Coturnix japonica: one gene and its partners. The protein of the gene in region 1 interacts with the protein of each later gene in a biochemical or structural test. Links are inferred from orthologs where the notes say so. Each region holds a gene or a part of one and is shown in the gene's direction. Other genes may lie near its edges.

Region 1 (4,121 bases):
AGAATGCATTAAAGGGTGTTTTCAAAGGGCAGTGGACATGCCCAGAGCTGAGAAAATTGGATCCGGACTGTGACATTGCAGCTCCTCAATTAGAACATTGAGACGCCTCTTGCTTTAGGAACAACAAGAGTAAAGCTGAGCTTCCAATCTCGCCTGCAGCCCCTCGCTGCTGCTGCTGCCGGTGGGAAAGCACTATTTGGGAGGTAGGCACACGGTGCACACAAAACTTGTTTTCAGCTTTTGGTGCTTGAAAGTGTGTAAATACAGAGAGCCACTGCTGTGCCGCCGCAGTCCTTGAGAGCCTCCAATCAATACTGTGCAGAACAGATCCAGTGCACGGCAGAGCTGCGCTCAGATAAAGTAACGTTACATTGATCAGCACTGATTTAATTGGAGGCGAGCGGCGCTTATTGATTCAGTTGTCAGGCCGATTCTACAGAGCAAGCATTGCACGGACTGCGCTAGCAACCTTTTAGTTAATGGTATCTAAAGTAAAAGCTTTATTAAATTATACTCAATTTTAGATACCGATATTATGCATCACTTTAAATCACTTCGGGCACCGCTGCTGCATCACCAACACACAGCTGACCCCACGCCGTGCACACGGGTGGTGTTTGCTGGGTGTCACCATGCCTCGGGTTGGGGCAGCGCTGCTGTAGCCTCTGGTCCTACAAACCCCCCGCAGTCAGGTGGCCGAGGTGGTACCGTGAGTGAGTGCGGGTGCCATCAGGGCTGCGTGCGGGCTGGGGGCGGCCGCCTCGCCCTCCCCACCGGGCAGAGCAACGCTCGCATCCCCAGCGGGACCGGAGCCGGGGCCGGGCCGGGCTGTGCGGCGGGGGCAGGGGCTCCGTACCGCAGCCGCAGCGATTGGCAGAGCCGAGCAGCGCCGTCCAGGAAACGGCTCGGATTGCAGCTGGGGGAGTGACCAGGGGAGGAGGGAGGAAGGAGTCGGAGGAGCGTGCGGAGAGAGAGAGAGAGAGAGAGGGAGAGAGAGGGAGAGGGAGGGCGAAAAAGAAGGAAAAAAAAAAAAAAAAGAAAAAAGAGGGGGGTTGTTGGACTGACAAAGCTGCGGCGGCACGGGGAGGGCGGCTGGATGGAGCGGAGCGGGACCCGCGGCGATGCCCGCGCGGGGGAGGAGGCTGCTGGCGCCGGGCACGGCGGGCTCGCCCCAGTGAGGCGGTAGCGCCGCAGCGCAGCGAGGGGACGGGACGCCGGGCGGGCTCCTGCATCGCCGCCCCGCCGCCGCCAGCCCCGCATCCCGCGGGGGATGCGCCGCGTTGCCCTGCGGGGCCCCCAGCCCGCCCCGCCGGGGCTGCCCGACGAGTGAGCGCGGCCGCGGAGCCGACCGGCTTCAGGTAATGGCACGGCCGGGGGTAGGGAGGGGAAAGGTGTTGGGGGGGAGTGGGGGCAAACCCGAGGAGGGGAGGGCTCGCGGCGCTCCCGACGGGACGGGGAGGCTCGGGATGCTGTCTGCGGTCCCGTCCGATGCGGCGAAACCTTTAGGGGACGGTGACAGCGGGGCTGAGAGCAGCTCAGCCCTCGGGAGCTCCCCACGGAGCGATGCTCGGCGGAGCGGAACCGCCCCCCGTCCCGCACCGGGTAAAAAAAGAAATCCGCGGTGATATATAGGTTTAAATGCAAAACGGCTCGTTCAAACAGTGAGCCATTATGCGTTCGGTGTGAAACGCTATCAACATTTAAAACTTCATTGTCTCCTTTGTACCAAATCCCTGTAAATCTTCCACTAGCCTTTACTCATTTTCATCTGAAAAGCCTGTTTGGGCTGAATAGACAGCAATCAACAGCCTCTGGACTTCTCTCTCTCTCTGGAATGTCAATTAAAATGCAGATCTTTTTTTTTCTCTTCCCCCCCCTCCTCATCTCTTAGTGGTAAAAGACTTGAGAAAAACAGGATAGTCCTGGAAAGCGAATGAAAGAAGTTCAAACAATGCGAAAGTACGGAGGCTTGCCAGCCGGTTCCCATTAGTCCTCCAGAATTAATGTTTAATAGCTGTGATGCTCAGATTTGCTCGGAGATTGAGCGGGGATGGAGACGCGTGCGTACGTATGTCTGCATCTCCGTATAAATAGGTGTCAATATTTAAGCCCATATGCGCTCGTTGGGGAGCTCGGTGTGCTCGGATGGTTGTAGGGAAGCTGCCGGGTGCTGGCATTGGGGGAAGCTCCGTATTTCGTTCAGATTTCGCTATTCCCTGCCTTAATAGAGAGCGCTGCTAAGAGCTGCCCGATGAGCAGCGTATTGATTTGGTTAACATGCTGTACAAATTGGACCGTCCCCGGGGAGTGATAAACATCTTATAAACAACAATGGGAGTAGATTAAAAAGAACACTGAGCGTTGAATTTAATTAATGCCACTGCTGAACAAGAACTACTTGTTTGCGAGCGAGTGTGCTCAAAAGTGGAGGAGAGCTCGGAGGAATTTGGTTGGGCTCCCAAACCAGTCTGCGTTCCCATGCTCGTCAGTTTGGCACAGAAATTTGGGCAGGTATGTGACGAGGTGAAAATTGACTTGATGAGCGAGTGGCAAGGAGAGCCATCAATCATTGGGGGCTGACAACTCCTCCCCGAAGTGTAGGCTGAGAGGAGAGACAGAGTTCCCTTTCAAGGGGAAAAATAAACACTACGTGTGGCTTTCACTGAGTCTGAGACTCCAGGAGGGATTATGGTATTGTAGTCAGGAAGCCAGAATTGTGGAGGCCAAAAAGCATGCTGGGGCTGTGTTCCAAACATTGAGATAGAGGTACATAATTAACCAGCGCAGGAGGTCCTTCCAGGGAGCCGTTCCCCGGCGACTGTGGCCATCAAACTATGAAAAGAATTTGGGTTCTTTTGGTCTTCGTTGGACTCCGTTTGGTTTGGGAACGGGCAGCGTTTGGACCGTGGTTGTAGATTTGGGTTCTGCGGATGGGCCCAAAGCTCTGAGTGTCGCTTTGCTGCACCTTCTTGAGCCCAGGCTTTGAATTTGGTGTTACCCTGCAGGGGAAGAGTCCCTCCGTGCTGCTGTTGGATGCTCAGTGCAGGAGCTGGCAGCCTCCTCCAGGTGAGCAGTGCTGCCATTCGGGATGGGCACACGGCTCTAAATGGCATTGAATGCAGCCTGGAAATCCTGTGCTGCTGAAATGTAGGTGGGATTAATGCTGTTTAGAAAAGAGTCTGGGATATATGATAGCATTCTGGTATGTTTTCTTTTTGCGAAAAAATATGGTTAAGCTTTGCATTTATATACGTAGCCTTTAATCAGGCTTTACGGGATGATTTATGGAAATTAAATTAGCTTTACCTCCAGTCTGTTAATTAGGATTTATACCTGCTTTACAGCTGGATAAACTGTGCTGTGGGGCTGTGAGTCAGAGGCTGAGACCCGTCCTCGGGACAGAACTTGGGCTCCACACCTGCATTGCCCTCTTGTAGGGAGGTGCTCTGTGGGTTCTTCCCCAGTGTCTGTGAAGTGGTCTGGCTTTGGTTCTGCTGGAGGTGGAACTGTTGTGTGCTTGTGGTGTCGTGCTCTGCTTCAGTCTCTAAAGGAGCAGCGGAGCATTGAGCTGGGATGGGAAACGCTTGCCCCAGAGAGGCAGAGGTTCACCTGAAATGCTGTGTCTGAACCCTTTACCCAATTGGATCTCTTCTCAAATCTGCTTCTGCAGAGCCTGGGGCTTCCAAGGATGCCCCACACACACCTGTCCCCATTTCTGGGAGCTGAGTTCAGTTTCCAGCCCTGAGTGAGAGGCTGAAAAAGTCTGAATACATTCCTTAATGGTTGGCTCCATAAAGGCAGAACATGTGTTCGTTTTGCTGAGTTCTACATGCTGTGGTACCATAGCTCAGGCTTCTTTTTTTCCCCCTCTATTTAAGGATGGGGGCAGGAGGGGGGAAAAAAGAGGTTTTATGCAATTCTTTCCCCAAGATCAGTGCTCTCTAAGCTTCAGTTGGGTCTCATTACTTCTAAGATGAGTTATTGGCTGATTTGAACAGCTTGCTTGATTTATCCATCGACAGTGGTGTGCCACCTTGTATTTTGGGGGGGGAAATACAGTGCAGTTGTCAGGGTGAGCTGTTGGGTCACTCTGTGAGGATGCTCTTGGTGTGGTGCTTGTT
Region 2 (2,683 bases), on another chromosome or scaffold:
ACTGTGGTCTGTTTCCTATCACTTTCAAGTTGCAAGGTTTACACTTGTTCATTTGTGATACAGCTACACGTGTCTTCAAAACAAAGGCTTTACACAAATTCCTTGAACCCTGATGGCTACGGATGTAATTCTTCTAAATGAAACCCGGAGTACAATAAATCCTAACATCCATCAATTCTTTGAAAATATAAAAATTTCTAACATTTCAATTTCAGTAGATATTTAAAATTTATCCTACAGATTGTAAGTGGCCGTGATGATCACATATAGAGATTTTAAAAATCTAGCCCTTTCTTCACATGAATAAATAAATACTTTTTCTAATAAATGCAGATAAGAATTTTCGATAAGCACAGAATTGTATTTGTTTAAGAAATCATAAAGGTAGAATTGAAAACAGATACTTTGCATCGGTGTAATTTTTCCTGTATACATTTGCAGGTATTCTAGAAATCCGAACAGTGGCAGTTGGAATAGTGGCAATCAAAGGAGTGGAAAGTGAATACTTTCTAGCAATGAACAAGTCAGGAAGACTCTATGGAAAGGTATGGAAGCTAAATTCTCCTCAACTGTGTACACAACTACCCTGCTAACTTCTCTAACAATCCCCACAACTCTCTGAAAAACAGATGTCATACTTTGTGTGAAACAGGTTGTATGACAGAAAGTCCTAAAAAATTAAAATGTATCCCATGTGTGCACAACTTTCATACACACTTTCAAAATTTAGTTGTTGGAGTTTGTGCACTTTTTTAAAACTCAAGATGTTAGAACATACAAAGCTGAAGTATTCAATACTCAGGTTTCAGAAGTGTAATTTATTTATTATCACTGTTAATAATATTATTTATCACTAGTATATCAATTTGTTTAATATTCATAATATTAAAAACGTAGCTTTTGTGATGAACCTTTTTCTCCCATCTCCCTCCATCTAAGTATTCTCTGATTGTTTTTTAAAAACATTTGTATTCATTTTACTCTAAATTATTTATTCTCAACAGAAAGTATGCAATGAGGATTGCAACTTCATAGAACTAATTGAAGAAAACCATTATAATACATATGCTTCTGCAAAATGGACACACAAAGGAAAAGAGATGTTTATTACATTAAACCACAAAGGTGTTCCAATGAAGGGTAAAAAAACAAAGAAAGAACACAGAGCATCCCACTTTCTTCCTCTGGCAATATCCTAATCATACACGATCTGTACAGAACTAGTTCCAGCAGGAAGATTATTTTTAAGAAGATTATTTGACAAGGTATCAAGAGAGGCTGGAATACTACTGAGAAACTGAACAAGCTGGACTTGCGCATTTATGTTTATTTTTAAGAGACTACGTGGAAAAGATTTGAAAATATACGCAAAACCAGATTTCCTAACTAAAAGCTGTAAAGAATTCTAAAGAGTTGTACAATCATTATCTTAGTCATTTTAACTGGGTAGTTTCTTAAATTAATTTACCCTGAAGAATAATTCATGACTTGATTATCTGATAATATTTAATTTAAATGAAAAAAGAAAAAAAAAAACACAAAAAAAAACAAAAACAGAAAACAATCTGCTTCTTAAATATGGCTGCTATAATAATAATAAGCAGATGATAATGTTGTGTAAAATATGTCAGACTCTAAGGCTGCTGGAACGAGTTGTCAGATTATCAAGTCAATAGTAAGTGTGGAGGCTGAGCAGTATTTTAAATACTTCCCCAAGAAACCGATAACCTATACATAAACTATATGATCAGAAAAAATATATAATCGTGTAAATGTCTATTGTTGCATTTCAGATAAAAGAGTTAGTTTGGAAAAATTAAGTTTACTCTACTACAAAAATGTTCCTATCTATTAATGAAACAAATACTTAATGCTGCTCTAAAAGATGTTTCAAAATAGTGTATGTAAAATAATAGGAATAAATAACATACTTCATCTCACTTTTCACAAAGTAACAATTTATATAACGACGAAGAAAAAATTCAGACATATTAAGGTATTTTATGTAACATATCCTATCTTTTGTATAATTCCTGCTAGGGCATACAGCTTTTAATAATGTTGTTTGTTGTTTGGTTTTTTTTTTCTTCCAACCTTATACATGCTTTTTCTGTTGTTACAGCATTAAACTTTATTTTAAGTTGTATTTGAACTTATTGTTTTAAGTTATTTAAATGTTATTTATAAAAGAAAAAAGAAAAAAAAGAAAAAATCAAGAAAAAAAAACTGATTAAGCTGCATCTGTTTCATATGCTTTTAATTCTAAAGGAATAACAAAATGGTCTGGCTGAGATGCATGAATTTTTTTCTGTGACCAGACACAAAGTCTAGTACACAACCCTCTTGCCAACATACATTGGATGGCAGACAAAAATGACAGCCTGCAGCAAATCGCACAATGGACATCTCAAAGGAAACAATGCAAAAACGTAGAAAATCTTTGCCACACACTCAAGTTGATTTAATAGCAGCTCCGAGTTATACTAGGTAAAAGAAAGTTGCAGAATAAATCCTCAGATGGTGGAACCGAGACTCAGAGAACAGTGTAAGAACCCATACGACTAATCTGAAACACCAGCCAAGATCCACGTGACATGATAAAGAAGAGACACAACTATTTTTCTATGTATCAAAGTGTTCAAAAGTAAGCCCTACATGACCAAAAAGTTATTTCATTCTGTTC
Region 3 (4,442 bases), on another chromosome or scaffold:
AATTCCACAGACACTCTCCAAGGAGTAGGCTCTTCCTTCTCATTTTGGTTTTATTTCTTTTTTCATTAAATGCTACAAAAGAAAAGCCTAAGACAGAATCACTAAAAATTTTCTGACATGCTCTGCACTCAGTGCAAATACGTGCAGAATAAATACTCTAAAGAACCATAAACAACATCATAAAACATATTGATTCTAACATTAAATGGTTTCATTTTTAAGGCTGTTTAAATGTCACCCCCAGAAGCTGAGAACATAAATTTAAGAGCTAACTCTCTCCAGAATAAACACCATAATTGGAGAAAATCATTTCTAATTTCTGTTGTGAAGCTAACAATATATTTAACATCCTAATCTAATGAATCAGTCTAATTTTAGAACTATTTGTTCTTTTCTACATTTTCTGCTCTTTAAATGAAGATTGACTCCAAATGCCACATGTAATTGCATAGGCGGTTTTCCATTGCATCCCACTGATCTGCATTATTAAACTGCCTCTATTTCACAAAAGTTCTGGTCTTACATATCAAGGAACTTGCTGTGTTTCTCTTGCAGCTCACTTCTCCACCGCTCTGTGCCCCTAGTTCCACCTACTTGCATTCCAGAACCATTATTTTACGATACTAAATATTGAACGAACACTCAACGTCTAGCAATGCTTGCCCATATCCTGTCAGACCCCTATCCTGCACTATGGTGTTAAAAGATAGTACATCATATGAAAGATGCCTGTTAATTACTTGGAAGACTGACAGTTTGGTGACGGGATAGAAATATGAATCTGTCATAACATCCAGTTTGTGAAATGACAAATCCATTAGGAGAAACAGAATCAGAGGAGAAAAACAACAACATATGCCTGTCCGGGAAAATAATTGCTTGAAAAATCACTTTAAAATAACCTTGGAAATGGAATATTTGTTTCTTTCTGGCAAAGGAAACTGCTTTAATAATAATATTAAAAAGAGAGAGAAAAACATTCAGACATATTTTATAGGGGAAACCTTTGCCATCCCAATAAAGCCCCTTTTGCTTTGAAGTCATACGCGTGATTCAGTAAATGACTCATGTTAGCAATTAGAAAATGGTCATTTAGGGCCCCGATTTCTTTTGAGACAAGGAGGGTGAGGGTGGGGAAAGAGACAATAAATCTTGAGAGGCTTAAAAGGAAGAGCAGACTAAAGTGTGAACTTTTTATTTCAGCAACGGAAGTGAGAAATCAGTGATTCATTAAAGGAGGGAGAAAGACCTCCATGGAAGCTGGCAAAGAAGGAAAAGGAGCTAATTACGTCTCTTCCCCTTTTTACTCTCTCTGACCAGCATATAATCTGCTCTCTCAGGGTCTGCTAGCAGCATGTACTTCTTCCCAACCTTTCCACCCAACCCCTCCTCCAGTGAGGGGGAGGGGGAGGTCTAGCAGGCAACAAGCTCCAGGTGGCTTTCTCAACTGCTCCGCTGCCAAAAGAATAAAATAAAATCCTTCGCTAGAAAACAAGTTTCTTTTTTTTTTTTTTTTTTTTTTCTTTTTTTTTTTTTTTTTTTTTCCCCCTGACTGTTGCGGGGGGAGCCTCCCTGGAGGGGATTGGTTCAGCCTGCAAGACAAGGAAATTAGTAAGGCATGAGTCTCCAAGCCATGCTGGTGGCCAGCACTCCGAGGAGTGGAGCGCTTTAGCAGCAATTAGCAGCGAGCCGAAGGCGGCGGCGGCTGCTGCCGCTGCAGCCCGGGAGGAAGCGAGGGCAGCTCCTGGGGCTCCCTCCGCAGCAGGCACAGCTCTCTCCAACTGCAAAAGGGTTTCAGATGTCCCACCGCTGCTTGACCTCCTGCAAATAAGGGTTGACCACCAGAGGCACATCCCACCTCTGATTTGTAATCGCTGACATTTAGGCTACAGCTTCCAACCTGTTTACAACCAAAGGGGAGGGAAAGGAAAGGAAAGGAAGGGAAGGGAAGGGAAGAAGGGGTGGGGAGGGAGAGACAAGTTGGGATTTTTTCCCCTCTCTCTCTTTCTCTCTCTGGGTTTTTTTTGTTTTGTTTTGTGGGGTTTTGTTTGTTTGTTTGTTGGGGGTTTTTTTGTTTGTTTGTTTTTGTGGGGGTATTTTTTTTTTAATACTGTTCTGGAGAATTTAAAGCAAAACAAAGAAACTGCCTCCTCTGTGGCTGTCAGTGAGAAAGGACGAGTTGTGCAACTGGTTTGGGATTTGCAAGAGGGCAAGGGGGTGGGGATCAGAAGAAGGTGCAAAGCCACAAAGTGTGAGTGCGAGTGTGTGTGTGTAAAGGGGTGTGTATGAAAAATCCCTTCCAGCACCCCTTTCCGCTGGTTGTTATTTATTATTGTTGTTGTTGTTCATTCTGCTGTCATCTATTTTTCAGACCTTTCTGCATCTAAGATGGTGAAGAAAGGAGTGAGGAAGAGAGCAAAATAACTACTGGGAAGTCTCAAACCAGGTTGGGGAGTGTGTGTGTATGTGGGGCGGGGGGGGTGGAGATGGGGGGGTGGGAGGGGGGGAGGGTGGAGAGGGGAAGAGAAAAAGGAAAGAGGATTAACCACAGCAACCCCCCCAAAACACCAACAGCTCTTTTTTCTGAGGGAGGACTCGAAGGATTAAAAGGCAGCAACTTCTGAGGCGATCTGTCCCCTGAGTTATGGATGTTGGTGCACTTACTTCAGGCCAGATCAGAGCTCAGAGGGATCTAACCAGAAGCAGCAACCACCGGCTCTCCACTTGCCTTTTACCAGGTTTTACCCATCCAGTATGTTTCTTTTGATAAGACATTTTCCAACGCCCAGAGTTTCAGTACAATGTGCAAATGGATACTGACAAATGGTGCCTCAGCCTTTTCCCACCTGCCTTGTTGCTGCTTGCTGCTGCTCTTCTTGGTGTCTTCTGTGCCTGTCACCTGCCATGACCTCGGCCAGGACATGCTGTCCCCGGAGGCCACCAACTCTTCTTCTTCATCATCCTCCTCCTTCCCCTCGTCCTTCTCCTCTCCTTCCAGTGCGGGGAGACACGTGCGGAGCTACAATCACCTCCAAGGAGACGTGCGCAAGAGGAAGCTCTACTCTTACAACAAATACTTTCTCAAGATCGAGAAGAACGGCAAGGTCAGCGGCACCAAGAAGGAGAACTGCCCGTTCAGTAAGTACGGCTCCAACGCCGCGCCTTCACCGCGGCAGCCCCGGCCCGGGAGGGAGCGGGGCAGGGGGCGCCGGGGGCTGTTCGGGGTGGGCTCCTCCGGGAGCTCCCGCAGGCACGGGCGCGAGGAGACCTTCCCGGCCGCGTTTGTTTTGCAAATGGCTTCGCCGAGCACAGTTTGTTTCTCTGCATGGCAGTAGAGCAAATTAGAAAGATTTGTGAGGATGTGGCGCGGAGCGTGTGTTGGGGGGAGCATTGTCTCCCGAATATGAAAATCATTATCCCCCTGTCATTAAACTGCCTTGACGAGAACGCTCTATTAAAACAATGCATCGATTTCCCCCCACGCACGCACTCCTCCCCGCGCCGCACCGGGGCCGTCCGCCCCACTCTCCCCCCGGGGCTCCTCGGGCGGCAGCGCCGGAGCCGGAGCGCTGCATGGCGAGCGGCTGCGGCGGGACCGCGCGGACCTCACACGCATCTCATTGTCAGTCTCTGCTCGGAGAGAAACGGTTTCAAAGTAAAAGTCGTACGGCTGTTCCCATGGCTGTGCTTTCGAGATTTTCTGCAGGACTAATTAGGCTTCTAGTAATAGCGTGCTTCTGGTAATGTATTTCTGGCTGTCAGTGTTGGAAATGTAACTTTACTCGGTTTTCTTGCCTGTGCAGTCTCAAACTGAAGCAACTGTAGTAAATCACAGTATATTGCATTGTAACTCTTTCAGTGACTGCATCCCGCTACAGGAGCGTGCTGAAGAAGTCAGATCTGTTAAGCAAGAGTTGGGCTCCAGTGCTGGAGCACCACTCCTTGGTTCTGGGGTTATTCTTCATAAATCCAGAGAAACCTGGGGATAAAGCTTCTGTTAAACAACTTGAGGTGGCTGGCTAGCTAATGTGTCAAGTACAGAGTACTTCAGCAGGCTGCCCTTCTGTATGACAGACATCACGGTTAATTCAGCTGTATTTCTTCTAAATACCCGTAATGTAGTCTTAGAAGGAAGGAGGAGAAGGCTGATGTATCATATGTCACTGCTTCATTTGCTCCACCTTGCAACTTTGTACTTTATCATGTGCTTAATGTTTGTAAAGGGTTTAGTTGTCAACACAGCTGTCTTACCACCTCCCTTCAGTATTTCATAGAAAGCTGAGTTCTTGGAAAACAGAACAGCTCCAAACACTTTGACAAGTTTGTTTAGAACAAGGTCCTAGCACTGTATTTCTTAGATCACTGTTTTTTTGTTGAGGACAGCATGATTCCCTGAATTTGGGATTCTGAGATCTTTGTGTGCATCTCTGCAAACATAAAGC

The links.
Region 2: the proteins of FGFR2 (region 1) and FGF7 form a complex in vitro, tested with the Homo sapiens proteins (3 studies listed by BioGRID). The link is inferred for Coturnix japonica from reciprocal best matches to the Homo sapiens genes FGFR2 and FGF7.
Region 3: the proteins of FGFR2 (region 1) and FGF10 are reported together in a solved structure, tested with the Homo sapiens proteins (3 studies listed by BioGRID and IntAct, with this or other methods). The link is inferred for Coturnix japonica from reciprocal best matches to the Homo sapiens genes FGFR2 and FGF10.

What each region holds. Positions count from the first base shown.
Region 1 is NC_029521.1:27,585,939-27,590,059, reverse strand, and holds the start of FGFR2 (fibroblast growth factor receptor 2), read left to right. Parts: upstream 1-1,246; 5' UTR 1,247-1,358; intron 1,359-2,418; exon of another isoform or gene 2,419-2,511; intron 2,512-2,878; exon of another isoform or gene 2,879-3,066; intron 3,067-4,121. UniProt on the Homo sapiens protein: Tyrosine-protein kinase that acts as a cell-surface receptor for fibroblast growth factors and plays an essential role in the regulation of cell proliferation, differentiation, migration and apoptosis, and in the regulation of embryonic development.
Region 2 is NC_029525.1:9,370,349-9,373,031, forward strand, and holds the end of FGF7 (fibroblast growth factor 7), read left to right. Parts: intron 1-441; coding exon 442-545; intron 546-1,004; coding exon 1,005-1,199; 3' UTR 1,200-2,152; downstream 2,153-2,683. UniProt on the Homo sapiens protein: Plays an important role in the regulation of embryonic development, cell proliferation and cell differentiation. Required for normal branching morphogenesis. Growth factor active on keratinocytes.
Region 3 is NC_029547.1:15,722,811-15,727,252, reverse strand, and holds the start of FGF10 (fibroblast growth factor 10), read left to right. Parts: upstream 1-1,629; 5' UTR 1,630-1,833; exon of another isoform or gene 1,834-1,867; intron 1,868-2,047; exon of another isoform or gene 2,048-2,251; intron 2,252-2,371; 5' UTR 2,372-2,446; intron 2,447-2,574; 5' UTR 2,575-2,801; coding exon 2,802-3,138; intron 3,139-4,442. UniProt on the Homo sapiens protein: Plays an important role in the regulation of embryonic development, cell proliferation and cell differentiation. Required for normal branching morphogenesis. May play a role in wound healing.